Macaca fascicularis: one gene and its partners. The protein of the gene in region 1 purifies or fractionates together with the protein of each later gene. This does not show direct contact. Links are inferred from orthologs where the notes say so. Each region holds a gene or a part of one and is shown in the gene's direction. Other genes may lie near its edges.

The links.
Region 2: the proteins of NOLC1 (region 1) and NOP56 purify together in Homo sapiens (affinity purification with mass spectrometry; 6 studies listed by BioGRID and IntAct, with this or other methods). This does not show direct contact. The link is inferred for Macaca fascicularis from reciprocal best matches to the Homo sapiens genes NOLC1 and NOP56.
Region 3: the proteins of NOLC1 (region 1) and TCOF1 purify together in Homo sapiens (affinity purification with western blotting; 4 studies listed by BioGRID and IntAct, with this or other methods). This does not show direct contact. The link is inferred for Macaca fascicularis from reciprocal best matches to the Homo sapiens genes NOLC1 and TCOF1.
Region 4: the proteins of NOLC1 (region 1) and CSNK2A2 purify together in Homo sapiens (affinity purification with mass spectrometry; 5 studies listed by BioGRID and IntAct, with this or other methods). This does not show direct contact. The link is inferred for Macaca fascicularis from reciprocal best matches to the Homo sapiens genes NOLC1 and CSNK2A2.
Region 5: the proteins of NOLC1 (region 1) and ARRB2 purify together in Homo sapiens (affinity purification with mass spectrometry; 5 studies listed by BioGRID and IntAct, counting the BioPlex papers as one, with this or other methods). This does not show direct contact. The link is inferred for Macaca fascicularis from reciprocal best matches to the Homo sapiens genes NOLC1 and ARRB2.
Region 6: the proteins of NOLC1 (region 1) and ARRB1 purify together in Homo sapiens (affinity purification with mass spectrometry; 4 studies listed by BioGRID and IntAct, counting the BioPlex papers as one, with this or other methods). This does not show direct contact. The link is inferred for Macaca fascicularis from reciprocal best matches to the Homo sapiens genes NOLC1 and ARRB1.
Region 7: the proteins of NOLC1 (region 1) and NOP58 fractionate together in Homo sapiens (co-fractionation; 3 studies listed by BioGRID, with this or other methods). This does not show direct contact. The link is inferred for Macaca fascicularis from reciprocal best matches to the Homo sapiens genes NOLC1 and NOP58.

Annotation. Positions count from the first base shown.
Region 1 is NC_088383.1:111,164,388-111,167,887, forward strand, and holds part of NOLC1 (nucleolar and coiled-body phosphoprotein 1), read left to right. Parts: coding exon 1-114; intron 115-1,071; coding exon 1,072-1,184; intron 1,185-1,308; coding exon 1,309-1,444; intron 1,445-2,072; coding exon 2,073-2,201; intron 2,202-2,409; coding exon 2,410-2,520; intron 2,521-2,627; coding exon 2,628-3,275; intron 3,276-3,500. UniProt on the Homo sapiens protein: Nucleolar protein that acts as a regulator of RNA polymerase I by connecting RNA polymerase I with enzymes responsible for ribosomal processing and modification.
Region 2 is NC_088384.1:84,652,073-84,656,219, reverse strand, and holds the start of NOP56 (nucleolar protein 56), read left to right. Parts: upstream 1-1,347; 5' UTR 1,348-1,376; coding exon 1,377-1,379; intron 1,380-1,569; coding exon 1,570-1,659; intron 1,660-2,006; coding exon 2,007-2,121; intron 2,122-2,925; exon of another isoform or gene 2,926-3,000; intron 3,001-3,128; coding exon 3,129-3,290; intron 3,291-3,462; coding exon 3,463-3,661; intron 3,662-3,780; exon of another isoform or gene 3,781-3,912; intron 3,913-3,982; coding exon 3,983-4,147. UniProt on the Homo sapiens protein: Involved in the early to middle stages of 60S ribosomal subunit biogenesis. Required for the biogenesis of box C/D snoRNAs such U3, U8 and U14 snoRNAs. Part of the small subunit (SSU) processome, first precursor of the small eukaryotic ribosomal subunit.
Region 3 is NC_088380.1:157,275,739-157,279,238, forward strand, and holds part of TCOF1 (treacle protein), read left to right. Parts: intron 1-1,375; coding exon 1,376-1,936; exon of another isoform or gene 1,937-1,937; intron 1,938-3,413; coding exon 3,414-3,500.
Region 4 is NC_088394.1:54,293,453-54,297,736, reverse strand, and holds the start of CSNK2A2 (casein kinase II subunit alpha'), read left to right. Parts: upstream 1-1,484; 5' UTR 1,485-1,863; coding exon 1,864-1,967; intron 1,968-2,748; coding exon 2,749-2,860; intron 2,861-4,284.
Region 5 is NC_088390.1:4,809,150-4,812,649, forward strand, and holds part of ARRB2 (beta-arrestin-2), read left to right. Parts: intron 1-981; coding exon 982-1,012; intron 1,013-1,168; coding exon 1,169-1,303; intron 1,304-1,938; coding exon 1,939-1,999; intron 2,000-2,112; coding exon 2,113-2,157; intron 2,158-2,376; coding exon 2,377-2,573; intron 2,574-3,182; coding exon 3,183-3,242; intron 3,243-3,500. UniProt on the Homo sapiens protein: Functions in regulating agonist-mediated G-protein coupled receptor (GPCR) signaling by mediating both receptor desensitization and resensitization processes.
Region 6 is NC_088388.1:74,129,267-74,132,766, reverse strand, and holds part of ARRB1 (beta-arrestin-1), read left to right. Parts: intron 1-1,034; coding exon 1,035-1,086; intron 1,087-1,183; coding exon of another isoform or gene 1,184-1,211; exon of another isoform or gene 1,212-1,236; coding exon of another isoform or gene 1,237-1,258; exon of another isoform or gene 1,259-2,464; coding exon 2,465-2,576; 3' UTR 2,577-3,500. UniProt on the Homo sapiens protein: Functions in regulating agonist-mediated G-protein coupled receptor (GPCR) signaling by mediating both receptor desensitization and resensitization processes.
Region 7 is NC_088386.1:98,148,727-98,151,609, forward strand, and holds part of NOP58 (nucleolar protein 58), read left to right. Parts: intron 1-260; coding exon 261-322; intron 323-1,440; coding exon of another isoform or gene 1,441-1,483; exon of another isoform or gene 1,484-2,029; intron 2,030-2,419; exon of another isoform or gene 2,420-2,578; intron 2,579-2,673; coding exon 2,674-2,807; intron 2,808-2,883. UniProt on the Homo sapiens protein: Required for the biogenesis of box C/D snoRNAs such as U3, U8 and U14 snoRNAs. Part of the small subunit (SSU) processome, first precursor of the small eukaryotic ribosomal subunit.

The DNA of each region.
Region 1 (3,500 bases):
AGAGCTCTGATTCTGATTCTGACTCAAGCTCCGAGGATGAGCCACCAAAGAACCAGAAGCCAAAGATAACACCTGTGGCAGCTAAAGCTCAGGCTAAGGCCCCTCCCAAACCAGGTACTGTTTCTGTTCCCAAGAGGCTGGGCTGGGAACCAGATTGCTCTGGGGACTTGTGTTAAAACTGCTGATTTGGCACAGGGGTGAAATGGTACTGGTTGTTGAACTGGAGGTATTGATTACTGGTCTTTTAATTTTAAAGGTTTTACTAATAACAAGATTTCATAGGAGCTAGTAAATAGAGAAACAGTTATTGCAGCAAGGAAAAATGTATATTTTTTAAAATGATATCCATTTGGTATTTTTTTGTGACATTTCATAGACATTTTATGTTCTTACACATCCCATTCCACTGTAACCACTTAAATATCTATTTGTTGTGCTTTTCACTGCCTTTTTTATTCTTGTACGTCATTCTATGAGACAAATGAGAATTTTTCTTTTTTTCTGTAACTTGAGGGTTAGGTTATTTCTCTGAATGGAGGTTGAAGTGAAAGATTTTAGAGGGCATATTGAGATTATTTATGTCATCTTTTCTTAGTTTTATTCCTGCCATGGGATAGGAAAGGCATCCTTTGATGTGGTAAACCATGGCATTCTCCTTGATGGCTGCTCTAAAGTTGAAAGAATTGGTGGACTCCTGGCCAGGCACAGTGGCTCACGCCTATAATCCCAGCACTTTGGGAGGCTGAGGCAGGCGGATTGCTTGAGGTCAGGAGTTCAAGACCAGCCTGGCCAACATGGCAAAACCTTGTTTCTACCAAAAATAAAAAAACTAGCTGGGCATGGTGGTGGGCACCTGTAATCCCAGCTACTCCGGAGGCTGAGGCAGGAGAGTTGCTTGAACCACTGCACACTGCTCTGTGCGACAGAGTCAGAGCCAGACTCCGTCTCAAAAGAAAAAAAAAAGGGGGGGAATTGGTGGACTTCTAAGTTCTCTGCTCATAGGAAGGAGGTTTTTCATGGTCCTGACTTGCCCTATTACTCCTTACTCTTTCTTTTTCTTGGGTATTCCAGCTCGAGCAGCACCTAAAGTAGCCAATGGTAAAGCAGCCAGTAGCAGCAGCAGCAGCAGCAGCAGTAGCAGTGATGACTCAGAGGAGGAAAAGGCAGCAGCCACCCCCAAGAAGGTCTGGGCCATAACTTCGGTCAGGGAAGAGGTGACCAGGGTGGGGTGTGTGTGTGTCTCCATTCCCTGGCAGGATTGGTTGGATCAGCATTTTCCTGTGGTAATCAGTTTTCTTTCCAATGCAGACTGCACCTAAAAAGCAAGTTGTGGCCAAGGCCCCAGTGAAAGCAGTTGCCACCCCTACCCAGAAGAGTTCCAGCAGTGAGGATTCCTCCAGTGAGGAGGAAGAGGAGCAAAAAAAACCCCTGAAAAATAAACCAGGTGACTGGACATGGAGAGTCAAGCTGTATGACTGTGGTCAGGGCCCAGCTGCAGTAATCACATGGACCTCTCCATAGAGCTGCTTGAGCGTCCTCATGACATGACAGCTAGCTTCTCCCAGTACTAGTGATCTGGGAAAGCAAGGAGGAATCTCCAGTGCCTTGTATAACTTAGACTCAGAAGTGACACCGTGTTCTGTTAGAACTGAGTCATTGGCCGGGCGCGGTGGCTCACGCCTGTAATCCCAGCACTTTGGGAGGCCGAGACGGGCGGATCACAAGGTCAGGAGATCGAGACCATCCTGGCTAACAAGGTGAAACCCCATCTCTACTAAAAAATACAAAAAACTAGCCGGGCGAGGTGGCGGGCGCCTGTAGTCCCAGCTACTCGGGAGGCTGAGGCAGGAGAATGGCGTAAACCCGGGAGGCGGAGCTTGCAGTGAGCTGAGATCCGGCCACTGCACTCCAGCCTGGGTGACAGAGCGGGACTCCGTCTCAAAAAAAAAAAAAGAACTGAGTCATGATTCTGGCCTATACTCAAGGGGAATTAAGCTTCATTTCTAGAAGAAAGTAGTATCAAAAAATTTGTAGACATATCTTAAAACCATCATACTATCCTTTTTAAACAGGTCCCTACAGTTCAGTCCCCCCACCTTCTGCTCCCCTACCAAAGAAGTCTCTGGGAACCCAGCCTCCCAAGAAGGCTGTGGAGAAGCAGCAGCCTGTGGAAAGCAGTGAAGACAGCAGTGATGAGTCTGGTGAGTCAGAGGGATGCAGCCTCCCCTCAGTGTGGGTCTGGAGAAGGGGATGAAGAATAAGGGAGAGAGAAAGCCTTCCATCCCTCCATTGTTTTTTGCTTAAAGCAAGACAGAGCTATGGCTCTGTGTGTGTCTTTGCATTCTTTTTATTGCTGTCCTGGTTGGGTTGGGACTCTGGACCCAGCATAATGCTACAGGTTCTCCTCAGATTCAAGTTCTGAAGAAGAGAAGAAACCCCCAACTAAGGCAGTCGTCTCTAAAGCAACCACTAAACCACCTCCAGCAAAGAAAGCAGCAGAGAGTTCTTCAGACAGCTCAGGTAAGGCATATGGAGGCCCTCAGTTCAGTGAAATGCTCTCAGGCAGCTGCTAAGGGCTCCCCTGAATCTGAATTGGGGAGCTGTTGATCCCATCCCTCTGTGTCTAGACTCTGACAGCTCTGAGGATGTTGAAGCTCCTTCCAAGCCAGCTGGTACCACCAAGAATTCTTCAAATAAGCCAACTGTCACCATCAAGTCACCTGCAGCAAAGCCAGCTGCAACCCCCAAGCAATCTGTGGGCGGTGGCCAGAAGCCTCCGATGAGAAATGCTGACAGCAGCTCCAGTGAGGAAGAGAGCAGCTCCAGTGAGGAGGAGAAGAAAAAAAAGACGGTGGCCACCACTAAGCCCAAGGCGACTGCCAAAGCAGCTCCGCCTCTGCCTGCCAAGCAGGCTCCTCAGGGTAGTAGGGACAGCAGCTCTGATTCAGACAGCTCCAGCAGTGAGGAGGAGGAGGAGGAAGAGAAGACAGCTAAGTCTGCAGTTAAGAAGAAGCCACAGAAGGTAGCAGGAGGTGCAGCCCCTTCCAAGCCAGCCTCTGCAAAGAAAGGAAAGACTGAGAGCAGCAGCAGTTCTTCCTCTGATGACTCCAGTGAGGAGGAGGAAGAGAAGCCCAAGGGCAAGGGCTTTCCCAGACCACAAGCTCCCAAGGCCAATGGCACCTCTGCACTGACTGCCCAGAATGGAAAAGAAGCTAAGAACAGCAAGGAAGAGGAAGAAGAAAAGAAAAAGGCAGCAGTGGCAGTTTCCAAATCAGGTCTGTACCCAGTAAACATGCCCTCTGGGTTTTGTCCCCCCAAATCAGGATGGGATATACTCTTTGAGAGTAGGGTAGTGAGAGGAGGCCCACCACTGGGCTTCCAGTTGTGGAAACTGGGAGGAAGAACAGGAAACTGGTCTTTTTTTTTTTTTAATAGAATCTTACTCTGTCACCCAGGCTGGGGTGCAATGGCATGATCACGGCTTGTGCAGCTTTAACTTC
Region 2 (4,147 bases), on another chromosome or scaffold:
AATTCAGGATTAAGGACAGAAATAACGAAGTAAATTGAAGTCTTAGCATTAATATTTTCCATTACATTTTGGAATCGTCTAATTTTATGTATTGATGACGGTAAAAATAATTCAACATGCTAATGTATGGATTAATTTTGCAATTCCATTTTAAAATGTTAAATGGAATAACGATTCAGATTCGTTAAGTCGACATGTGTAACAGAATTCAACCACATCTGTAAACTATATTAAAATTATGTGAGTAAGATTTACCGGCCATATTTTTTAGGTTTGACATATTAGATTTGTGAGTGAACTATGTACTTGGATTTTGTCAAGTAACTCAATCGATTAACAAAATAACAATTAAATGTATAAATGTAGTTTATAGCTATACAGCATTTTTAAAAATCCCCTTCGAATGACTCTTTAAAATATATCAGGGGATATGCTACTTAAGCATAACTAGGTTTTGGATTTATAACGTTAATATTAATTATTAAAGCAAAACTCATTTCTAAATAGTCGCCTGAGAGCCCAAAAGACGCCCTCGAGGACAGGGAAGGAGCTCCGATTCACTTGGCGCTCGCCGGTGCCCAGAATTCAGGGCCGCTCAAGCGGAGGAGCAACACGTGGCCAGCAAAAGAAGCTGGGTCCCGTGCAGCACAGCAACAAGAAACTGGCCTAGGAGGACGCTGGAGCGTCTTTCTTTCGCACGTCACTGCCTGACACCGTCATTTTAAAAAATAATAAATAAAATTAGTAGTACGAAGAAAGCTGCGCAAGCCACGTTCCCAGCAGGGTCTGCGCCAAAGCGCGCAAGGAAACGCTCCCGTTCCGGGTGGGAGGAAAGGATGCACGGCCCACCCAGCGCTGGGGAGGCTCGTCCCCGAGTAGGGGACGGGAACGGATGGGTCCCGGGGACTTGGGGCGCAGGGTCTGGGGCCCGAGGCCACGGGCGCAGCGGGCAGCCGGCTAGGCAGCGGTCTCTGGGATGGACGCCGTGCCCTACGCGGAGCCTCCCACCCCGACTTCACCCATCTCTGCTGCCCGCAACTTATATGACAAGAACATCTGGAACTGGACTATTATACCGAAAGGGCCTACCCATGTCTTTTCGCTGCCAGCAAGGCCCGACTCCGGGCCGCGCGTCCCCGGCAACCGCGCCCGCCCACGCAGCTGCAGAGGCCAGAGAAGGCCTGCTCGCCCGCGCTCGGCGCCACCCAGCCCGCGCTCCGGGCGATACCACCCCGGGCGGCCCCTCTAAAGGCCGGGAGATGGTGTCGTCCCCGGCCTCCGATTGGTCTGCGGGGCGGGGGCGGGGCCTCTGGAGCCTGGTTCCGCGCGCCGGAGCGCGCTAGCCGCATTGCGAGCCGAACCCGGGAGCAGGCGCCATGGTGAGGAGTGGTTGTGGGGCGCGGGCGACGCGAAGGTGGGGGCTTCGGTCTGGGTTCGCGCTTCAGACAGAGCCTGGGCCTGGGCCTGGGCCTGGGCCTGGGCCTGGGCCTGGGCCTGCGCCTGCTCTCGGAGCGGGTTCCGGCAGACGCGGAGGTTGAGCTGACGCTAGCGCCCCGGCTCCCGTTCCAGGTACTGTTGCACGTGCTATTTGAGCATGCGGTCGGCTACGCGCTGCTGGCACTGAAGGAAGTGGAGGAGATCAGTCTGCTGCAGCCGCAGGTGGGTGAGATCCATGGGCTCCTCAGGCGGCCTCGCAGACCCTCACCGCGCAGGTCCCAGCATGCAGCGCGCGCTCCCACGTGGCCGGCCGAGAGGTTCGGGGCGGGGGGCGGGCCTGGAAAGCTCTAGATCCGGGGGTCTTTACCTTGACTCATGGGAAGAATCGCTCTAGCAGTTAGAAATAAGCCTCCCGGACCCCGCGCCGGAACGATTAAAGCAGAAGCTGGGTTGTGGGGTCCCGCTGTCAGCATATTTTAAGAGCTTCCAAGGCTGAGAACCGCTGCTTTATGCGCCGCAGAGGCAGGAGGGAGGGAAGGAAACCACTCAGCCTCTTTCTCCCCCGCTAGGTGGAGGAGTCCGTGCTCAACTTGGGCAAATTCCACAACATCGTTCGTCTGGTGGCCTTTTGTCCCTTTGCCTCGTCCCAGGTTGCCTTGGAAAATGCGAACGCCGTGTCTGAAGGTGAGTCGGCCACCACCAAGTATCACAGGGAGATGTGGTTCCTTCTGGTATCCTCTCGGGCAGCTTGTGATAGTATTTGCCGTCCTTGGCCGGCTGTGAGTCTGATAGGTGTGAGGCAGTATTTGAGACATAACTGTGTAATTTGAAATAATTGTCTTCACAGAGCTCAAGATCTGGGAACTGTGATGGACCAAACTGTTGAAAGCAGATGATGTGGGATGTGTGTTACGTTTCCTTGTGGGCACTGTAGTGACAGATTATTTATTTTTTGAGACAGAGTCTCTGCCCTCCAGGCTGGAGTGCAGTGGCACGATCTGGGCTGACTGCAACCTCCGCCTCCCTGGTTCACGCGATTCTTCTGCCTCAACCTCCCGAGTAACGGGGATTACAGGCGTGTGCCAGCCACCACACCCGGCTAATTTTGTGTTTTTAATAGAGACGGGGTTTCACCATGTTGGCCAGGATGGTCTCGATCTCCTGATCTCGTGATCCCCCGCCTCGGCCTCCCAAAGTGCTGAGATTACAGGCGCGAGCCACCGTGCCCGGCTTGACAAAGGGGGTTTCTTAAAGGGGGTTGGCTTAACACCTACCTGTGCCTGAGTTTTTTGCCTAAACACAATCAGGTGTCTAGTTTTCTGCTATTTGCTTGGAAAGGGCGGTTGGATAAACACAGGCTAAGAAAAAAAGGTTTGGTTCCAGAAGGCAAATTCTACTAAATACTCAAGGGTGTGTTACAAGCTATTATTTATTGCACGATTGTGCTATCAGACCTGAGTGCAGTTGTTCCCATGGCTGGGCCAGGCTTTGCAGTGATGACTTGCGAATCAAATCTGTCAATCCCCTGAGTGCAGTCACTGATGTCTCCATGTCTCTGAGCAATGCCTGATGGGGAGGGGTCTAGGTATGCCATCCCAGCATGCTCCGTGGAAGCAGGGTAATCAGCTGAGGAGATGTTAGAATTGATCATCCTTCAGCCTGTGAGTGGGAACTGTGTTCTTTCCTCTGAGGGGTTGTTCATGAGGACCTCCGCCTGCTCTTGGAGACCCACCTGCCATCCAAAAAGAAGAAAGTACTCTTGGGAGTTGGGGATCCCAAGATTGGTGCTGCAATACAGGAGGAGTTAGGGTACAACTGCCAGACTGGAGGCGTCATAGCTGAGATCCTGCGAGGTGAGACCATCATCTGTTATATTCATGTTATCCTTGACATTTTCGGGGAGGAGGTTCTGGAAACGTGGGTGCTTGTTGTGACTTCTGGGAAGGCCTTGGACTTGGCTGGTGCCCATGGGTGCGGGAGCTAGCTCAGAGCCCCTTGTTGCTCACCGTCCTGCCCTCTTCTTAGGAGTTCGTCTGCACTTCCACAATCTGGTGAAGGGTCTGACTGATCTGTCAGCTTGTAAAGCACAGCTGGGGCTGGGACACAGCTATTCCCGTGCCAAAGTTAAGTTTAATGTGAACCGAGTGGACAATATGATCATCCAGTCCATTAGCCTCCTGGACCAGCTGGATAAGGACATCAATACCTTCTCTATGCGTGTCAGGTAAAGTGCAGGGGCCACCCATAATACTGGAGCCTTTGGTCTGTAGTTTAGCTAATTTTGAGTCTTGATGAGGACTGACCATCCTGTGGGTAGAACTATGTGGACTGGGGCTGGGTCTAGGCCTCCTGGTGCTTACCACAGGCTGTGTTCTTACACTGACTGTATAGAAAGAGGAGGTAGAGTAAACCTACCCTATATACACCTCAGCTCAGGCCCTGTGCCTGGTCTGTATTGTGAATGGGGGAACATAGAATGAAGATTTGTAGCTCTATGGTTTTTGATGAAGCAGCTGGGCCAGGGAGTGACTGTGGCTCTTTGCAGGGAGTGGTATGGGTATCACTTTCCGGAGCTGGTGAAGATCATCAACGACAATGCCACATACTGCCGTCTTGCCCAGTTTATTGGAAACCGAAGGGAACTGAATGAGGAAAAGCTGGAGAAGCTGGAGGAGCTGACAATGGATGGGGCCAAGGCTAAGGCTATTCT
Region 3 (3,500 bases), on another chromosome or scaffold:
CGAGATTGTACCACCATACTCCAGCCTGGGCAACAGAGCAAAACTCTGTCTCAAAAAAAGCAGCAGCAGAAAAGTGGGCTCTGGGGGGAGAGGTGGCCGGAGCTAACTGTGCCCTCCCCAGCTTCCCTCTCTATTGGCTCCTGCCATCTTGAAGAATCCCCAAAGGATGGAATTGGGCCTCTAGCCGTCCCGGGGCTCCCTCTGCTTAACCTGGCCTGCCCTTCCCAGCCCACTGCAGCTCTAGAGCCAAAAGTTGCCAGAGATCCCGGGTGGGGCTGAGGGGCCAGGTTCACTGCATGCTGCAGGGGGCAGCCCTAGCCTCAGTGTGACATGAGTGTCACATAGAGTGTGACATGGAGTATCCACCTGGGCCTTCCTCCAGGCAAACATCTCCAGGGCCAAACCACCAAGCCACCTTTCAGATCCCAGCGTGCAGGAGTGTTGTGCCCATGAGACCCAGAATGGGGCAGAGACCTCCAAGTCACCTGGAAAGTTAGAGATGGCGAGGGGACCCAGTCATGGGGCTTTCAGCTGCAGCTTGCCCCGGCTGCGTCGGAAGAGAATTGCTGCTCACTTTCTTCCCCAACATTCTTTGTGAGAGGCGGTGCAACAAGGAGACATTTTAGAGGGGGCTGTGGAAGGTTTTTTTTTTACACGTGTAGTCAGCACACAATTATCAAAGGCAAGCAGAGGCGTGGAAAATTCTAAACAAAGGCTGCACCAGAAGTCTCTCCGGCAGGCAGTAACCTGCTTAGTCAGCCACCACGTGTGTAGACACTGCACCCAGCACTCCCCACCTTGCCTGGACACCCTGACCAGGAGGGGCCGAGTGTGGGTAATCATCATTTGAATGTCTGCCTGGCCCCCACTTTTATTCTAAGTCTACAATGTATCATAGGTAGCCTTACTGTTCATCTACCCCTCAGGTTATAGACGGGAAACCAGGCCCTGGGAGGAGAGGGGTCCGGCCAGAATCACACTGAAAGTTGGTGGGAAAGTCAGACCTAGAACCCAGGTGTCCTTCCAGCTCCACACTCCATCTCCCTCCCGTCTGACTTTTCATTTCATTGATAGATTTCAGGCCCTTTCATTCACATTCTGGAATCATTTTCTGTCTCCTACCCTAACTGGAGTTTTTAGTGTAAAGAGACAGGGAAAAGCTGTAAGTTAGAAATGAAGTCAGAGTGTGAAATTGGTGGAAAGATGTGAGCTTAGGAGACCGGCTGGGGCAGAGTGACCGCCAAGCCTTGCTCTCCCCCTCTGTGCCATTGTAAGAAAAGATGGAGTCACTCTCTGTACCCTCTTCGCTCTTGGGTACCATTACGATCTGTCCCGAACTCTCCCAGATCTGAGACCCCACATTCTCTCTCCATAGGTGGAAAAGAGGCTGTTTCAGGCACCACACCTCAGAAGTCCCGGAAGCCCAAGAAAGGGGCTGGGAACCCCCAAGCCTCAACGCTGGCGCTGCAAAGCAACATCACCCAGTGCCTCCTGGGCCAACCCTGGCCCCTGAACGAGGCCCAGGTGCAGGCCTCAGTGGTGAAGGTCCTGACCGAGCTGCTGGAACAGGAAAGAAAGAAGGTGGTGGACGCCACCAAGGAGAGCAGCAGGAAGGGCTGGGAGAGCCGCAAGCGGAAGCTATCGGGAGACCAGCCGGCTTCCAGGACCCCCAGGAGCAAGAAGAAGAAGAAACTAGGGGCCGGGGAAGGTGGGGAGGCCTTTGTTTCCCCAGAAAAGACCTCCACGACTTCCAAGGGGAAAGCAAAGAGAGACAAAGCAAGTGATGATGTCAAGGAGAAAAAAGGGAAGGGGTCTCTTGGCTCCCAAGGGGCCAAGGACGAGCCAGAAAAGGAGCTTCAGAAGGGGATAGGGAAGGTTGAAGGTGGAGATCAAAGCAACCCAAAGAGCAAGAAGGAGAAGAAGAAATCCGACAAGAGTGAGTGACCTCTTCTCCCGGCCCACCCCGAGGGCTGCTGGGCACCCCACGGGGGCGGGAGGGACTCTCAGCCAGCACCTGGTCTAATTCCTCCCATGTAGAAAGGAGAGGCTGAGACCAGCCTGGCCAACATGGCGAAACCCTGTCTCTACTAAAAATACAAAAAATTAGCTGAACGTGGTGACAGGCACCTGTAATCTCAGCTACACGGGAGGCTGAGGTAGGAGAATTGCTTGAACCCGGGAGGCAGAGGTTGCAGTGAGCCAAGATCACGCATATGTACTCCAGCCTGAAAGACAGAGCGAGACTGTCAAAAAAAAAAAAAAAAAAAAAGGCTGAGAAGTGATTTGTCCAGAGTCATGGGGGCAGCTTGTGGCAAAGCCAGAACTCGATTCCAGAGCACTTGGGCCAGCACTGCCAGGAATGCTCCAGAAGGACGAGGAGTCATGTCCTCTTTCCCCAAGCCCAGTGCAGCAGATCTTGGAGGAACCTGCTGCTCCAGCCAGCTCCTGGGTGCAGAATGGACCAGGAACCAGACTGTCAAAATCCTCATCCCAAACCCCATCTTCTCTCTAGACCTCAGTTTCCCCTCCGTAGTAACACTGGCCCTTTACTGAGTGCTGCTCTAGAGACTCAGCTTACAGCAGGACCTCATTTAGGTAGAAATGAGGCTCAGCAGGTAGAAAACTGAGGCTCAGAAGTAGAGACCCTGTTCAGGGCCACAGAGTTTTACTAGGTGGAGCCAGAGTCAAACCTAGGCAGCACTCTTGAGCATCACCCTGGATGGTGGGATGCCAGTGATGCCCGAAGAGCCAGCTTGTTCTAGAACAAGAGTCAGGCACCCTCAGCAGGATATGCAGCTCCTTGGTGCTCAGAACTGTGCTAGATTTCCATTTACAGTACGGATAGATAGTGTCCATTTAAAATAAATTTGCGGGAGTTTTAAAAAGTGAGTTGACCTAAAGAAAAATGGTAGTCATCCAGGTGGTCCATGGATGGGACAGAAATCATGAGCTGGCCCCACTGGGTGGTCGTCACAGCTGCCAGCCCGTTTTATTTTTATTTTTGAGGCAGGGTCCTGTTCTGTCACCCAGGCTGGAATGCAGTGTCAGGAACGCAGCTCACTGCAGCCTCAGCCTCAGCCTCCCAAGCTCAAGCAATCCTCTTGCCTCAGCCCCCCAAATAGCTGGGACCACAGGCGTGCACCACCATGCCCAGCTAATTTTTTGTAGAGACAGGTCTCACTATGTTGCCCAAGCTGGTTTTGTACTCCTGGGCTTGAGCGATCCATCTGCCTCAGCCTCCCAAAGTGCTGGGATTGCAGGCATGAGCCACTGCGCCCAGCCCTGCCGGCCTGTTGTGATGGCTCCCGGTGGTGTGGGGAGAACTGGGAGCCCTGCCCTGTGCGCCTCCCAACATTGACCCCAGCACTTAGGATTACCATCTGTTGTTCAAGAACTTTAGTTTCTTCCCTTAGGAAAAAAAGACAAGGAAAAAAAAGAAAAGAAGAAAGCAAAAAAGTCCTCAACCAAAGATTCTGAGTCACCGTCCCAGAAGAAAAAGA
Region 4 (4,284 bases), on another chromosome or scaffold:
TATAGTGAGACTCTATTTCTAAAAAAAATACTACTAATAAAGAAAAAGGCGAAACTTGAATAGGGAAAAGGAGTCACCCTTGGGAAGGTGGGGTGGAGGGGTTGGTGGTGGCTCCTAGTTAAGCTTGGAGGATGGAAGGAACCAAAAGATGGATGCGTGGTGGTCTCAGGGAGGGAGGCATGATCAGAGAAAGGCCCTGGGTCTGGGAATAATCATATTGTACACATAGTATCTTAATATTGAACACCATCCTACATGTTTCACATGCTTTACCTTGTTTAATTCTCCTTGCAGCCCTGTGAAGTGAGTGCTATTACTGGTTTTGTGCTGTAGAATCTGTGACACAGAGAGGTTGAGTAATTGTCCTAAGGTCACACAGCTTCTAAGTAGCAGTGCTGGATAGATCTGACTCCACAGTCTGTGCTCTTAGCTGTGTCAAGGAGGAAGGCCCAGGATTTCATCTAGAAAACAGACTGTGAAAAGGGATTGGAATGAGAGCAACCTGCACTGGGTGCAGAGGTCCTGTCGATAAAGGATGCAGGATGGGAAAGGAAGACAAAGGAAGGGCCTAGAAGGTCCAAGGAGAAGGGTGTTCAGGGCTGCAAGCAACACTGGAAGCCAGGCCAGTTCAGTTGACCACCTACCCTGGTGCATCCCCAACCCCTGCTGTCCCTTCAGGTCGGATTTGCAATTCTGCTCTCCCTCCTCCTAAACACAAACAGGAGATTTACACACTCAAAGTCTCTCCCCACAAATAACTAATTAATCACAAAGGGAAAAATTGTAACTTTGCAGTGGCACAACCTGGCCGACACCAGCTTAACCAAGTGACCAAAGTGGATATTCAGGGAAGGCTCTGGAAGGGCATTTGGGGGAAGCGTGGAAAGGTTTTGTGAGGACTCTGAATGACGGGGGTGGGAAGCTTTGGGGACTGAGGAGTCTACCCTAACAGGGCAGGGTCCAGAGGGGGAAGGAGGGGTATGTCTCCGGGAAAGGGAGAAGTATTGAGGTGGGAGAGGTTCTGAGGTTTGACCGAGGCCCTGGGGAGGGACTTGACAGTTTGGGTGACAGGAGGGTCAGAATAGGGTCAGTATGGGAGGTGTCGGGTGGGTAAAAGCTGGGTGAGTGCAGGGCTAGGGGTAGGGTCTCCAAGGACAGTGAAAGGGTCGAGACACGCGGGCGAGGGCTCTAGGGCAACGGCCAGTGGAAGGGGGGCTCCTGTGGCGTGAAGTCAGGCCAGCCCGAGGGTGAGGCGATTTGGACCGTCCGACCTGGGGCGACGGGAGGGCGAGGGTGCGGGACGGTGCGGGAGGGCGCGAGGTAGGCGGCGGGGCGTGCCGGGGCGGGGCCGGGGCGGGGCCGGCACCGCCCGGCGGGTCCCCCCGCGCTCCAGGGGGCGCTGTGAGCCTGGGCGGCCCCAGGCCGGGCGGCGGCCGCTCCCAGCGAGCGCGGCCCCTTTTCCGGGTTTCCTCCGCCTCCTCCTCCTCTCCTCCTTCTTCTCCGCTGCCGCGGCCGCTGCCCCTTTCCCGGCCGGTGGCTGCCACTGCCGGTGCCGCCGCCGCCACTGCCGCCGCCTCCTGGGGGCCGCGAGCCGAGCGGAGACCGCCGCGGATCGCGAGCGCCGCCCGCCCCGCCGCCCCGCCGGCCGCTCCAGGGCCGGGCCGGCTCGGCCGGCGCCCCCCGCGCCCCCAGCCCGCCCGCCCCCGCGGGCCCGGCCTGGCGCGGCCGCCCGCCGCCGCGCTCCTCCTCCTCCTCCTCCAGCGCCCGGCGGCCCGCTGCCCCCTCCGCCCGCCGCCCCGCGCCCCCCGCCGCGTCGCCGCCGCCACCCTCTGCGCCCCGCGCCGCCCCCCGGTCCCGCCCGCCATGCCCGGCCCGGCCGCGGGCAGCAGGGCCCGGGTCTACGCCGAGGTGAACAGCCTGAGGAGCCGCGAGTACTGGGACTACGAGGCTCACGTCCCGAGCTGGGGGTAAAGCCGCCGCCGCCCCCCGCCGGGCCCGCTGACCCCTGCCCCCGCCCGGCCACCCCCTGCGAACCGCACTCGGGCCCGGTGGTGTCTCCCGCCGACCCCTCCGCGGGCCCGCAGGGAGGCAGAGGTCCAGCTCTCGCACATGTCCTCGTCTTCCTCTTCCCTCCCCTTGTCCCTTTCTCCCCGCTTTGCGCACCTCTTTCCCCCAAGGAATGCTTTTTTACTCGGGGAGAAGTGTGGGGTCCAGGGATCGACGCCGGGTAAAAGTGAGGGAGTAGCCCTTCCTCACGCTTCTGGGTTTCCACTGGGGTGGGAAGTCAACAGCTGTCCTTTGGAGCTATTAAAATTCCCTGCCTTTTCGGTTTTCTGAGATGAGGTGGTGGGAGGAAATTTCTTAAAGACGTCCAGTTTTTTAAAACAGGCACTGTCTACCCTCAGGGTGTGAAACGGGAAGCAGGTGCTGGGGAGCCGCGGGGCACAGGGGGCACCCTCTAGGCCTTCAGGACGGGTGCTTTGCTCAGCCCTCTGGATTGGCTCAGAGCGTTGCCTTCCTGCCCCATCTTTCCAAGTTAGGAGAGACCAATTAGGTTAGGAGCTCTGCAGAGTGAAGGGAGCCAAGATTACGTCGTGGCTTTCATTTAGGGAATGAGTTGTGACGTGATGTATAGACACTTCCAAGTGTTTGCCTGTTGGAAGCGGCTGAATGACGTATACAGTGAGCATAGGCTTGCTTAGATTAACCCCCAGTCCTGGCATTTATGTGTGTGTCTTCCTTTTACAGTAATCAAGATGATTACCAACTGGTTCGAAAACTTGGTCGGGGAAAATATAGTGAAGTATTTGAGGCCATTAACATCACCAACAATGAGAGAGTGGTTGTAAAAATCCTCAAGGTGAGTGTCCTATGAGTGGTATGTAACATTTTTCCCCCCCACAGGGCAGAAGGTTGTAAGCTACCCCAGTCACGTTCTAGAATGGGCAATGCAAACTTGAATTTAATTTAATTTATTTATTTAGAGTCAGTCTCACTCTGTCACCCAGGCTGGAGTGCAGATCATAGTTCACTGCAGCCTTCAACTCCTGAGCTCAAGTGATCCTCCCATCTCACCCAAGTAGCTGAGACTACAGGTGCATGCCACCACGCCCAGTTATTTTTAAAATTTTTTTGTAGAGTCAGGGTCTGGTCAAGTTGCCCAGGCTGGTCTTAAACTCCTGAGCTCAAGCAGTCCTCCAAAAGGACTCCTTGCAGGCCTCCTAAAATTGCTGGGTTTACAGGCATAAGCCGCTGTGCCCAGCCCGCGCTCAGATTTTATTTATCTGATGTCCCTTCATTACTTCTTTTTCCACCCCATTTTCCTGTGAACTTTCAAGAAAATGTGCAGACTGGTCACAGATCTTAGTTCAAATCTAAGTTCAGGAAGGTGTTTGTTCTAAAAAGTAAATTGCCTAAAGCAAAAATTCCTAAAGGGCTCCATTTGTTAGAAAATAAATAGGTATTCAAAAGACAGGAAAGCCATTCTCAATTTAAGGGCTCCCTGAGCACTGTGTTTGTTAGTCTTGGTGCATGCTCTCCGTTGTTCCAGAAAGAAAGTTGGAAAAAATTGGAGCGACTTCAGAAATGTATGTCAAACCCAAGTGGAAGGAAATTCCTTAGCAGATAATCACTTGCTTTTTTTTTTTCCTTTGGCAGTAAAGTTTCAGGTGGGATGGATATAGTGCGCCAGTAGTGCTGAGAAGCCTTGTTGGGAAGCCAGAGAGCCATTGTTGCTTATCAGCTAGTAAAAATGTAGAAGAATTCACGTATTATTACTAAAGCAATAATTGGAACAAAACGATTTTAATATATGGTTTAGCAATCAGTTTGATAATGATATGTCTTTTGTTATCTCTTCCATGAAGATGATTTTAATGAGCATGAAGGGTTGGCTAAATTTTCCTTCTGGTAACATTAATTGTATAGCTTTAATAATGTTTTATAGGCTATAGTAAAAAGTAGTTCTTAGAATCTGTGATGGGTCTTCGTTATTGCCAGATCATTTCATGTGGTTACATGTCATTTAGTGAGAGATTGAGAAGACGGAAGAGTGACGTAAGCACTTTGCATACATGTGATTTCCAGTGTGGCCCTTTTGCAGAGGTTCTGTGGACTAAGAATGTGGAATTGAAAAGCTGTTTCTGTGTGTTAGAGCAGCTGTGTAGGTAATCACTGTTTAATGTGAGGGGTCAGGCTTATGCTTTCTCGTAATCTTTCAGAAAAAATGATTAACTCCATCACTCAAAACATCCTAGCCTAGTGATGAAGAAGCAGAATTGCAGT
Region 5 (3,500 bases), on another chromosome or scaffold:
CTGCACTCCAGCCTTGGTGATAGAGCGAGACTCCGTCTCAAAAAATATATATATACAAAACATACCTGGGCGTGGTGGCTCACGCCCGTAATCCCAGCTGCTTGGGAGACTGAAGCAGGAGAATCACTTAAATCTGGGAGGCGGAGGTTGCAGTGAGCTGAGATCCCGCCACTGCACTCCAGCCTGGGCAACAGAGCGAGACTCCGTCTCAAACAACAGAGTATTACAAGAGATGACACATTTGAAACACGTGGAACGGTGCTGGGCATGGAGAAGTCACTCTGAATGTTAGCAGCATTAGCATCTTCATGATCTGGGTGGCACTGTGCTGGAGATGCGTAAATGAATAAGGCCTCCGAGGCTCACAGTCTGAGGAGGGAGGCAGCTAACTGTCCGTGTGTGCTACCACACCACAAGTAAAACATCAACAAGGTGTGACAGGAACCCAAAACAAGGAGTGACCAGAGTCTGGGCTGGGTCAGCTTCCTAAAGGCTGGGCGTTCAAATAGGCTTTTAAGCTGTTGAGGTCGGAGTTGGGGACAGTTGGAGGTGAGTAGAGTAGAGTCAAACTTGGGTAGGGCCTATGGTAGAAACCATCTAGGGCCAAAGGCCAGGGTCATTGCTCTCCTCTATGCTCCAGCGGTCAGCGCTGTAGACCGGATGGAAAGATGGTTAGGTCTTACCCAGACACTGCGGCAACCTGCCCATTCTGGTCCTCTGGGAAGAGCCTGGGTGGTTCCTAGGGCAACCAGTGGCCATTACTAGGGAGGGACGGGGACGAAGGAGGGTGGACAAGAGAGGGGCATTTCCCCTTGCCGCCATGTTAGAAATAGGAAGGACCTTCCGGGAAGAAGGGGAAAGGGGCAGAGCTGGGCAAAGCCCTGCAGCCTCAGGCAGGAGGCCTGGGAGGGAGAGGGTCCTGGTGTGGGGTCCCTGCTGAGTCTGAGGGAGGCAGTGGGGTTTCCCTTTCTGTTTTGTTAGGGTCTTCAAGAAGTCGAGCCCTAACTGCAAGGTGAGTCTCCACAGCACTTACCCTTTCGACCCTCCCTGGGCCCCAACAAAGCCCGGCCTTCCCCTAGACGATCCCCAGCCTGCCCAAAGATGATCCCCAACCCCTAGCTCCCCACTTCCTGTGACAGCTAAGAGCCGACTTCCTTTCCTCCTGAAGCCCCTTGCCGCAGAGGCTGCTCAGCCTGAGCCAGCCACAGGCTGGGTGGGGCAGGCCTGGGTCCCCAAGCAGATCACAGAGGAGGCGGCCAGAAGCAAGCCATGTGCCTGTAGCCCTCCTAGGGCCCAACCCAAGGTGCGTGGGGCTGGGAAAAGTTAACAGCCCCCACCCAGGCTATGGCTTATTGATCCTAGAGCCCCTTGAGGGGACCTCGTGAGGGTGGCAGCTGCTCTCTAGCTGGCTAGTAGGACTGAGTTCTCCCTGAGGATCCAAAGACACACACACATAGACACACGGACACACACAGACACAAATACACACACACACACACACCCCTCTGGCTGGTTGAGGATGCAAACACACACACACACACAGACACACACAAACACACCTCGCTGGTTGGGCTGAGTCCTCCCTGAGGATGCAAACACACACACACAGACACACATGCACATACATGTTCACATGCACACCTGACTGGGTGGGCTGAGGCCACACACACACACAAACACACACACACACACACACACACACACCGGGCTGGTGGGCAGAGGTGTGCAGAGATTAGGGAGCAGCTAAAAAGCGTTAAGGTCCACTAGTCTGAGAAACGCCACCACCCTCACTTTCCAACACTGTTGGGAGGAAAGCTGGAGAAACTCCTTCCTGATAGCCCAGCCTGGAGATCCCCGGGCAGGGCAGCCAGTTTTGAGGGCTCCGATGCCCTGTCACCATCCTCCCCAATCTCCCCTGTGACCCCTTGACATCCTCAGCTCACCGTGTACTTGGGCAAGCGGGACTTCGTAGATCACCTGGACAAGGTGGACCCTGTAGGTAAGTGTTCTCAGAAAGGAGCAGCTCGTTCCCCAAGAGGGGAAGAAGTTCCCGGGCCCAGGAAAGGGGGTGGCGGCTCTTTCCGGAAGTGAGCTGGTGTGTCCCCCTCCTAGATGGCGTGGTGCTTGTGGACCCTGACTACCTGAAGGACCGCAAAGGTACTGGCCCCAAGTCCGGGGGCTCAGGGGAAGTGGGGGCTAGGGAAGTGAAATGGGCTGGCCTTGGAAGGGCACCCCAGAGAGATGGAGGCTGGAGGTGGAAGCCAGGAGTAGGGTTCAGGCAAGTCTTATGCTGCTGAGGGAGGAGCAGCGGCTGCTAGGTGCTGGGGGACTGGGGAAGCGGGGCTCCTGATCACACATCTTACCCTCCCTTGCCAGTGTTTGTGACCCTCACCTGCGCCTTCCGCTATGGCCGTGAAGACCTGGATGTGCTGGGCTTGTCCTTCCGTAAAGACCTGTTCATCGCCACCTACCAGGCCTTCCCCCCAGTGCCCAACCCGCCCCGGCCTGCCACCCGCCTGCAGGACCGGCTGCTGAGGAAGCTTGGCCAGCATGCACACCCCTTCTTCTTCACCGTGAGGATGCCCCTGCCCTCTGAGGGCCAGGGGGCTGGGCTGGGACTGTGTCTGGGGTGGGGGTAAGGCACCGCTATGGACAGATCTGGAAGAAACAGTGAGGCAGGGACCCTAGATCCACCTCCCTTCAGGGTCCCCATGCATTCAGGAAGCCCTTGATTATCTGCCTTCTCTCTGGGTCCCTTCCTTCCTCCTTTCTCATCCCCAGGAGTCCTTTCTCCAGCCTCTTTTTCTTTTTTTTTTTTGAGACAAAGTCTCACTCTGTCGCCCAGGCTGGAGTGCAGTGGCACAATCTTGGCTCATTGCAAGCTCTGCCTCCTGGGTTCAAGCGATTCTTATGCCTCAGCCTCCTGAGTAGCTGGAATTACAGGCGTGCGCCACCACACACGACTCATTTTGTATTTTTGGTAGAGATAGGGTTTCGCCATGTTGGTCAGGCTGGTCTAGAACCCCTGACCTCAGGTGATCCGCCCACCTCGGCCTTCCCAAGTGCTGGGATTACAGGCGTGAGCCACCGCGCCCAACCTCTCCAGCCTCGCAAGTTGAGATTTGGAGGAAGATCTGGGGGCTTTCTGGAAGGACTCAAGTCTTCTCTTTCCTCTGCCACAGATACCCCAGAATCTTCCATGCTCTGTCACACTGCAGCCAGGACCAGAGGACACAGGGAAGGTATGGGAGGAACAGCTCTGAGGGCTCCCAGGGCAGGACAGGGGCCAGCAGGAGCCTGGAGGCACAGCTGAGCCAGAGGGTGAACTGTCGAGATGCCAGGGTGGGGCCGAGGGTAGGCCAGTGTCTTCGTGGAAGTGGGGTGTGTATGGTGATGCACGCGTGACCCTGCCTCCTGCTCTCTGGACCTGCATGGATCTGGGGATGGGGGCTCCCCTTGCCCCTTGCACTACCATGACCAAGCCTCTGCCAGGTTCGGGG
Region 6 (3,500 bases), on another chromosome or scaffold:
CCGCCTCCCAGGCTCAAGAGATTCTCCTGCTTCAGCCTCACAAGTAGCTGAGATTACAGGCGGCTGCCACCACACCTGGCTGATTTTTGTATTTTTAGTAGAGACGGGGTTTTACCATGTTGGCCAGGAGGGTCTCAAACTCCTGACCTCAGGTGATCTGCCTGCCTCAACCTCCCAAAGTGCTGGGAGTACAGGCATGAGCCACCGCGCCCGGCCTGTCATGTTTTTCAAGTGATAGCAGATTGGTCATATTTCACTGAATCTGAGACTTTCAGTGAAGAGAGACAACATTATAGTAGATACGATTAGGAAAAATCTTCCATGGTTAAACTGTGCAGTGCCATCGACGGTAAGATACACTCCAAGTTCAGAGATGTTAAAATGTGAAGGAAAATATAAAAAAGATTGTCTGGTTGGGCACAGTGGCTCACTCCTGTAATCCCAGCACTTTGGGAGGCCGAGGCGGGTGGATCACGAGGTCAGGAGATCAAGACCATCCTGGCTAACACAGTGAAACCCCGTCTGTACTAAAAATACAAAAAAATTAGCCGGGCATGGTGGCAGGCGCCTGTAGTCCCAGCTACTCGAGAGGCTGAGGCAGGAGAATGGCGTGAACCTGAGAGGCAGAGCTTGCAGTGAGCCGAGATCGCGCCACTGCACTCCAGCCTGGGCGACAGAGCGAGACTCTGTCTCAAAAAAAAAAAGATTGTCTTAGAGTTGGTAAATGTCATACATGCTAGGAATTAACGTAAGTCATGTTGGAGACCTCCCAAAAGAAACAGAAGTTAGAGGATTTTCTGTTCTTCTGGGGCTGCAGTGGGGATTGGGGCCCTCCTGGTGCCCTCCTCCCTGCCTTTCAGATGCTTTGGGGTGTTTCAGTACCAGGAATGAGTCCTCCCCCCTCTCCATTCCCCTTTTTCTTTTGCACTCCTCATGTTAGTCTGGTTGTCCCAGGGTGGGGGCCTGTGCCTACTCGCCCCGTGCTCATCCACTCACTAACCCCTGGACACTCTGCCCACCCGCCCTGTGTTTAGTTCCAGAGAACCAGACGCCAGTAGATACCAATCTCATAGAACTTGACACAAAGTAAGCCGAACCCTGCCTGCAGACATCGGGGGACAGGGTGGGCCGTGGGTGGGCGGGGCGGAGGGGTCATTTGCATATATGCTTATTAACCCCTGAGGAGCCGCTGGTCTAACCCCGTCTGCTGAGAGCTGCCTCTGCTCGCCTCTTCAGCAACCCGCTTGCCTGCATGTGACTTGAAGGACCCTCCGTGCCTGTTCCTCTTCCTCCTGCCTTGGTGGGGTCTGTCTTCCTCCCTCGTCCTTGCACGTCCGTCCGTCAGTCTGTTCGTCCATCCACAGCGCCTGCTCAGCTCACACAGGGCTGGTCCATGGCCCTGGGCTCGGCTCTCCTGTCCTGCCCACGCCAACCAGTGGAATCAGGCTGTGGGGTGGGCAGGGGACTGGGGATCTTGTTGCTTCTGACTCCTGAGGACCAACCGATGTGGATTTCCCTGCGGTCAAAGGCCATCGAGTCACCGGACAGTGGCCAGAGGGGGAGGACCTGGGCCGACTGCGAGAACCACCTCCAGGGCCAACTGGTTTTCTTGCTGCAGCTCCAAAGCCAATCTTCCCTTGTCCCCCAGGAGAAATCTGGGGTGTGGGAGTCTCAAGTCACCCCATGAGGATGCCACATGCACTGGCTGAACCCTGTTGGGCAGGGGACCTGGATGGACCCCTGCATGGTCCTAAGTGGACATGTTTCATGGTAGAAGGGAACTCGCTGTTCTTAAAGGCAGTCCTTAGTCCTGAAACCCCACTTAAGCCTCCCCTTTCCTCACGAACAGGTCCTCTACTCCCCTATTCAGATTCACATCCTCCTACCCCAGCCTTCTCCTGTGTGGGATCCCCCGTGGGAGAATCGGAGCTGACACTTCCTGGGAGAAAGGTTCTCCATGGTCTTCTCTTCCACGAAGCCAAACTACTCCTTCCTGTCCAGACACGGGAATGCTTCATAAGGGCAGTTTTCTGGGTGGTGGGGTGGGGTTTACCAGTCTTATTCTTGGGGGATTCAGAACATGCTGTGAAACAACTACTGGTGGCCTGGCTTCTTAAGTCCTTCCTTGGGCTACAGAGCCACACTGCTCCCCCCACCTCCTAAAGAACCGGGTTACTTTTCTAGCCCTTAGGCACAAGAGTCAAATTCATGCCCCTCTCTGCCCCTTTCATGACTGGCCTGAGTCCTGATGTGACTGTCCTTACTGCCACAGGGGGCATCCACATGTGCCTGCCAGACAGGCCTTTCTGCTTATGGTCAGTCGCCGAGGTCAGAGACCTCACAGAGGGTGGTTCTCTCCCCGGCCCCAGAGCCACACTCTGAGTCACCTCTGGCCGGGCCTCTGGATAAGCCTACTCTCCCTGCCCCTGCAAACACGCCACATTTTCCTTGTCTCTCCCACTAGTGATGACGACATTGTATTTGAGGACTTTGCCCGCCAGAGACTGAAAGGCATGAAGGATGACAAGGAGGAAGAGGAGAATGGTACCGGCTCTCCACAGCTCAACAACAGATAGATGGGCCGGCCCTGCCTCCACGTGGCTCCGGCTCCACTCTCGTGCGCTCGGATGCTTATTCGTCTTCTTCCCGTTCTGGTTTATTTTCCCCTTTGTTCTTCCAGTTTCTACCAGGGGGGCCTGTGGCCTTCCAGATCACGGTGATGAACCTCTGACCTCAGGATTGGCCCCACATCACCATGCCAACAGGACCACAGCACACCGGCTCCACCCCATCTCTGCCATTGCCTCTCCACTGCCCTCCTTTTCATGCTGTCTCCCAGAAAAGCTGCCAGGGTTCTGGCCTTGGAATTGGACTTGAGATGGGGAGCAGACAGGGGAGGATGGGGCATGCAGGACACGGTGTGGTGGGCATGAGGGCTTGGAGGGGTGGGGATGAGGGCTCAAGACACGAGAGAAGATGTCCACGGTTCCAGGTGGTTAACAAAGTTCTGGCAGCTAAAAGATGACTGCATTGAAGGCCACCTCCTTCTGGCTGGGAGGGGCAGACCTGTGGACAGATTCTCAATGCCTTTTTGAAGTTCTGACCCACCAAAGACCTTCTGCCTTCACCCTCCTCTCCACCCGATGTCCCTCTGTGTCTGATAGTGACGTTGGTGAAAGTTTGTAGACCACAGGAGTAGAGAAAAGCAACTGGAGTGACTTTCTTACCAGCAGTTACCTAGACTGAGGCAAGCTGTGTGGACTCAACAAAGTATATTTCAGTAGTGTCAGGATGTGACATCTTAGCTACCTTGTATTTCAAGTGCATGGGCCTGTCTAGAGATATGCAGAGAGAAAAGCAGAGGGAGGGAGGGAGGGGGCCTTCAGCAAGCACCAGCCCACAGCAGAGTTAGCGGAAGCTCTTGATGAGGGTTCCCGAAGTGGGCCGCTGGGATATGGAGGCAGGGGGTGGGGAGAGGAGAGTCTGCCTTATGTCCCTTC
Region 7 (2,883 bases), on another chromosome or scaffold:
AATTTATGAAGTTACTTTATCTGCTAAACAGTTTTATGATCCTTGTTAGTATGTCTAAAGTATTCTTTTTGTGCCTACTATTAACAATTGCTATTATTTACCAAGAATTGATGTATACAATAGCATTTGCCATTAGGATATGCTATTCAAAATAACAAAAAATAGCAGAAATTGTTTGCTGGCCCACTGATTCACTAGACTGTTTAGTGTATTATAAAGTGACTTAGAATTGTATCTGTAATTTTTCCTTTTCGTCTTAGATAAGAAAAATAAGTGGAACAGGAAAGGCATTAGCAAAAACAGAAAAATATGAACACAAAAGGTGAGTACATTTAAGTGACAATGGGGTGAATAGTTTTTTTAAATGTTAATTATTGACAGCGATTTTGTAAATTTCACTTTGATGTGCCCATAGTTTTTCAAATTTATTTAATTGACAAAAATTGTTTATTGTGTACATGTTATTTTGGAAAATGTGCACATTGAGGAATGATTAAGTCAAGCTCATTAACATGCATTGTCTTACATACTTTTTTTTGTAGTAAGGACATCTTAAAATCTACTTAGCAATTTTTAAGAATATAACACATTGTTAACTGTAGTTAACCATGTTGTGCACCCCTAATTTTTTTCCGTGCCATTTAGTTTTCCACATTAACTTCTACTTTTCATTCATATACGTATTTATTCATTTCCAGATATTGATAGTAAATTTTTAAATCTAAAGTTTCTCTATAATATGTTCTTTATCAAAAAGTTCATTCAGCCGGGCATAGTGGCTCCTGCCTGTAATCCCAGCACTTTGCGAGGCCGAGGCGGGCAGATCACCTGAGGTCAGGAGTTCAACACCAGCCTAGCCAACGTGGTGAAACCCCGTCTCCACTAAAAATACAAAAAATTATCTGGGCGTGCTGGCGGGCGCCTGTAATCCCAGCCACTTCGGAGGCTGAGGCAGGAGAATCGCTTGAAACCCGGGAGGCGGAGGGGTGCAGTGAGCTGAGATTGCGCCATTCCACTCCAGCCTGGGCAACAAGAGCAAAACTCCGTCTCAAAAAAAAGTTCATTCAGAGTTAGTCCCTACAGAAAACTATTTTGTAAAAAGTATAAAGACAGAAAACAAGTCTAAAAATGGCTGAGGCACGATAAAGCATTCAAACTTAACTATCAGATTAACAAAAGATTTGTATGTGGAGGGGTATTTGGCTTATTATTTGAGGTAATGCTCAATGCTGGTGAGGTTGTCATGGTGGAGGCAGAATGTGGTATAGCTATTCTAGGAAGCCATTTCACAGTATGTATCAAGATTCTTCAAAATGTTCCCAGTCATTACCCAATAAATTATACTTTCAGGGCTCATAAACCTTCAAGAATTTATTTATTTGGTTTTTAAATTTTATTTATTTATTTATTTTTTGAGATGGAGTCTCTCTCTGTTGCCAGGCTGGAGTGCAGTGGCGCGATCCTGGCTCACTGCAACCTCTGACTCCCCGGTTCAAGAGATTCTCCTGCCTCAGCCTCCCAAGTAGCTAGGATTACAGGCATATACCACCACATCCAGCTAATTTTTGTATTTTTAGTAGAGCCGGAATTACACCATGTTGGCCGGGATGGTCTCGATCTCCTGACCTCATGATCCACCTGCCTCGGCCTCCCAAAGTGCTAGGATTACAGGCGTGAGCCACAGCGCCTGGCCTCCTTCAAGAATTTTAATAGTAAAATCTTACACTATAAGTGGATGAAGAGAGCAATATATAGTAACATTAGCAATTATAAATACATATTTAAGTATAATTAGTGTGTTCTGGAAGGAAATCAGATGTGTTTCTGTGGGCATTCACATTTTCTTTTTTGTGAATTTTCCAAGCTTTCTACAATAGCCATACATTCTGCAATATTTACAGTCTGTAACTTATTATCTCTAGTTGACAAACATGGGTCTTTGTTTCTTAAATTGTAAATGTCTTTAACCTATAAAAATTAAATAGTCATGCAGTTTACAAATCTGCTTAAGAAACAGAACATTTTTTAACTTGTTTTGAACCAATTTTTTTAATGTTCCTGTGCAATTAATGCTTTTTACTTTAAACATATGCAGTTAAAGCATCAGTTCACATTTTAGGCACTCATTTCAGTATTTTCTTCCTGCTTACATTAGAACAAAAGCAAATGTTGGGTTCTAAGGAATCTTTTCCATGTGTATGTATTTGTATCCTTTCTTGTTCTGCTTGTGATCTTGTGATGAAGACTTCTATACTAAGCTTGGTTTAGATTTTTTGTTTTGCTTTTTTTTTTTTTTTTCCATTTAATTGCGCAGTGTTCTGAAAGTTGGATTGGTTCATTTTTCACTTTCTAGTTAGGTGTGAAGACATTTTCTTCTTTCATTTCCCCCATGCTGATTGAGTGTTTTCCTGTACCATAGTAACTACATTGATTACTAAATCAGAATTCATTTAGCTCACCACTTCTCTTGAATGTGATTGACCTACTTGAAAAATATTAATACCTTTAACTTTTGGAAACTATTAGTCTTCATAAACTACCCCAAAGCCACTAAAATGAAACAACATTGTGTGCTTATGTAAGTATTATCTAATGGCATTTTCTTTATCTCTTGAGAATTATTTCAATTACAGATACTTGTAGAGATTTTCTAAAACTTTTTGGGTCTTTCAGTGAAGTGAAGACGTACGATCCTTCTGGTGACTCCACACTTCCAACCTGTTCTAAAAAACGCAAAATAGAACAGGTAGATAAAGAGGATGAAATTACTGAAAAGAAAGCAAAAAAAGCCAAGATTAAAGTTAAAGGTTAGTTTGAATTTTTTTTAACACAACTTATACTCATTTCTTTAGAACTATGGATTTTGTGAGTCTTACAAGTACA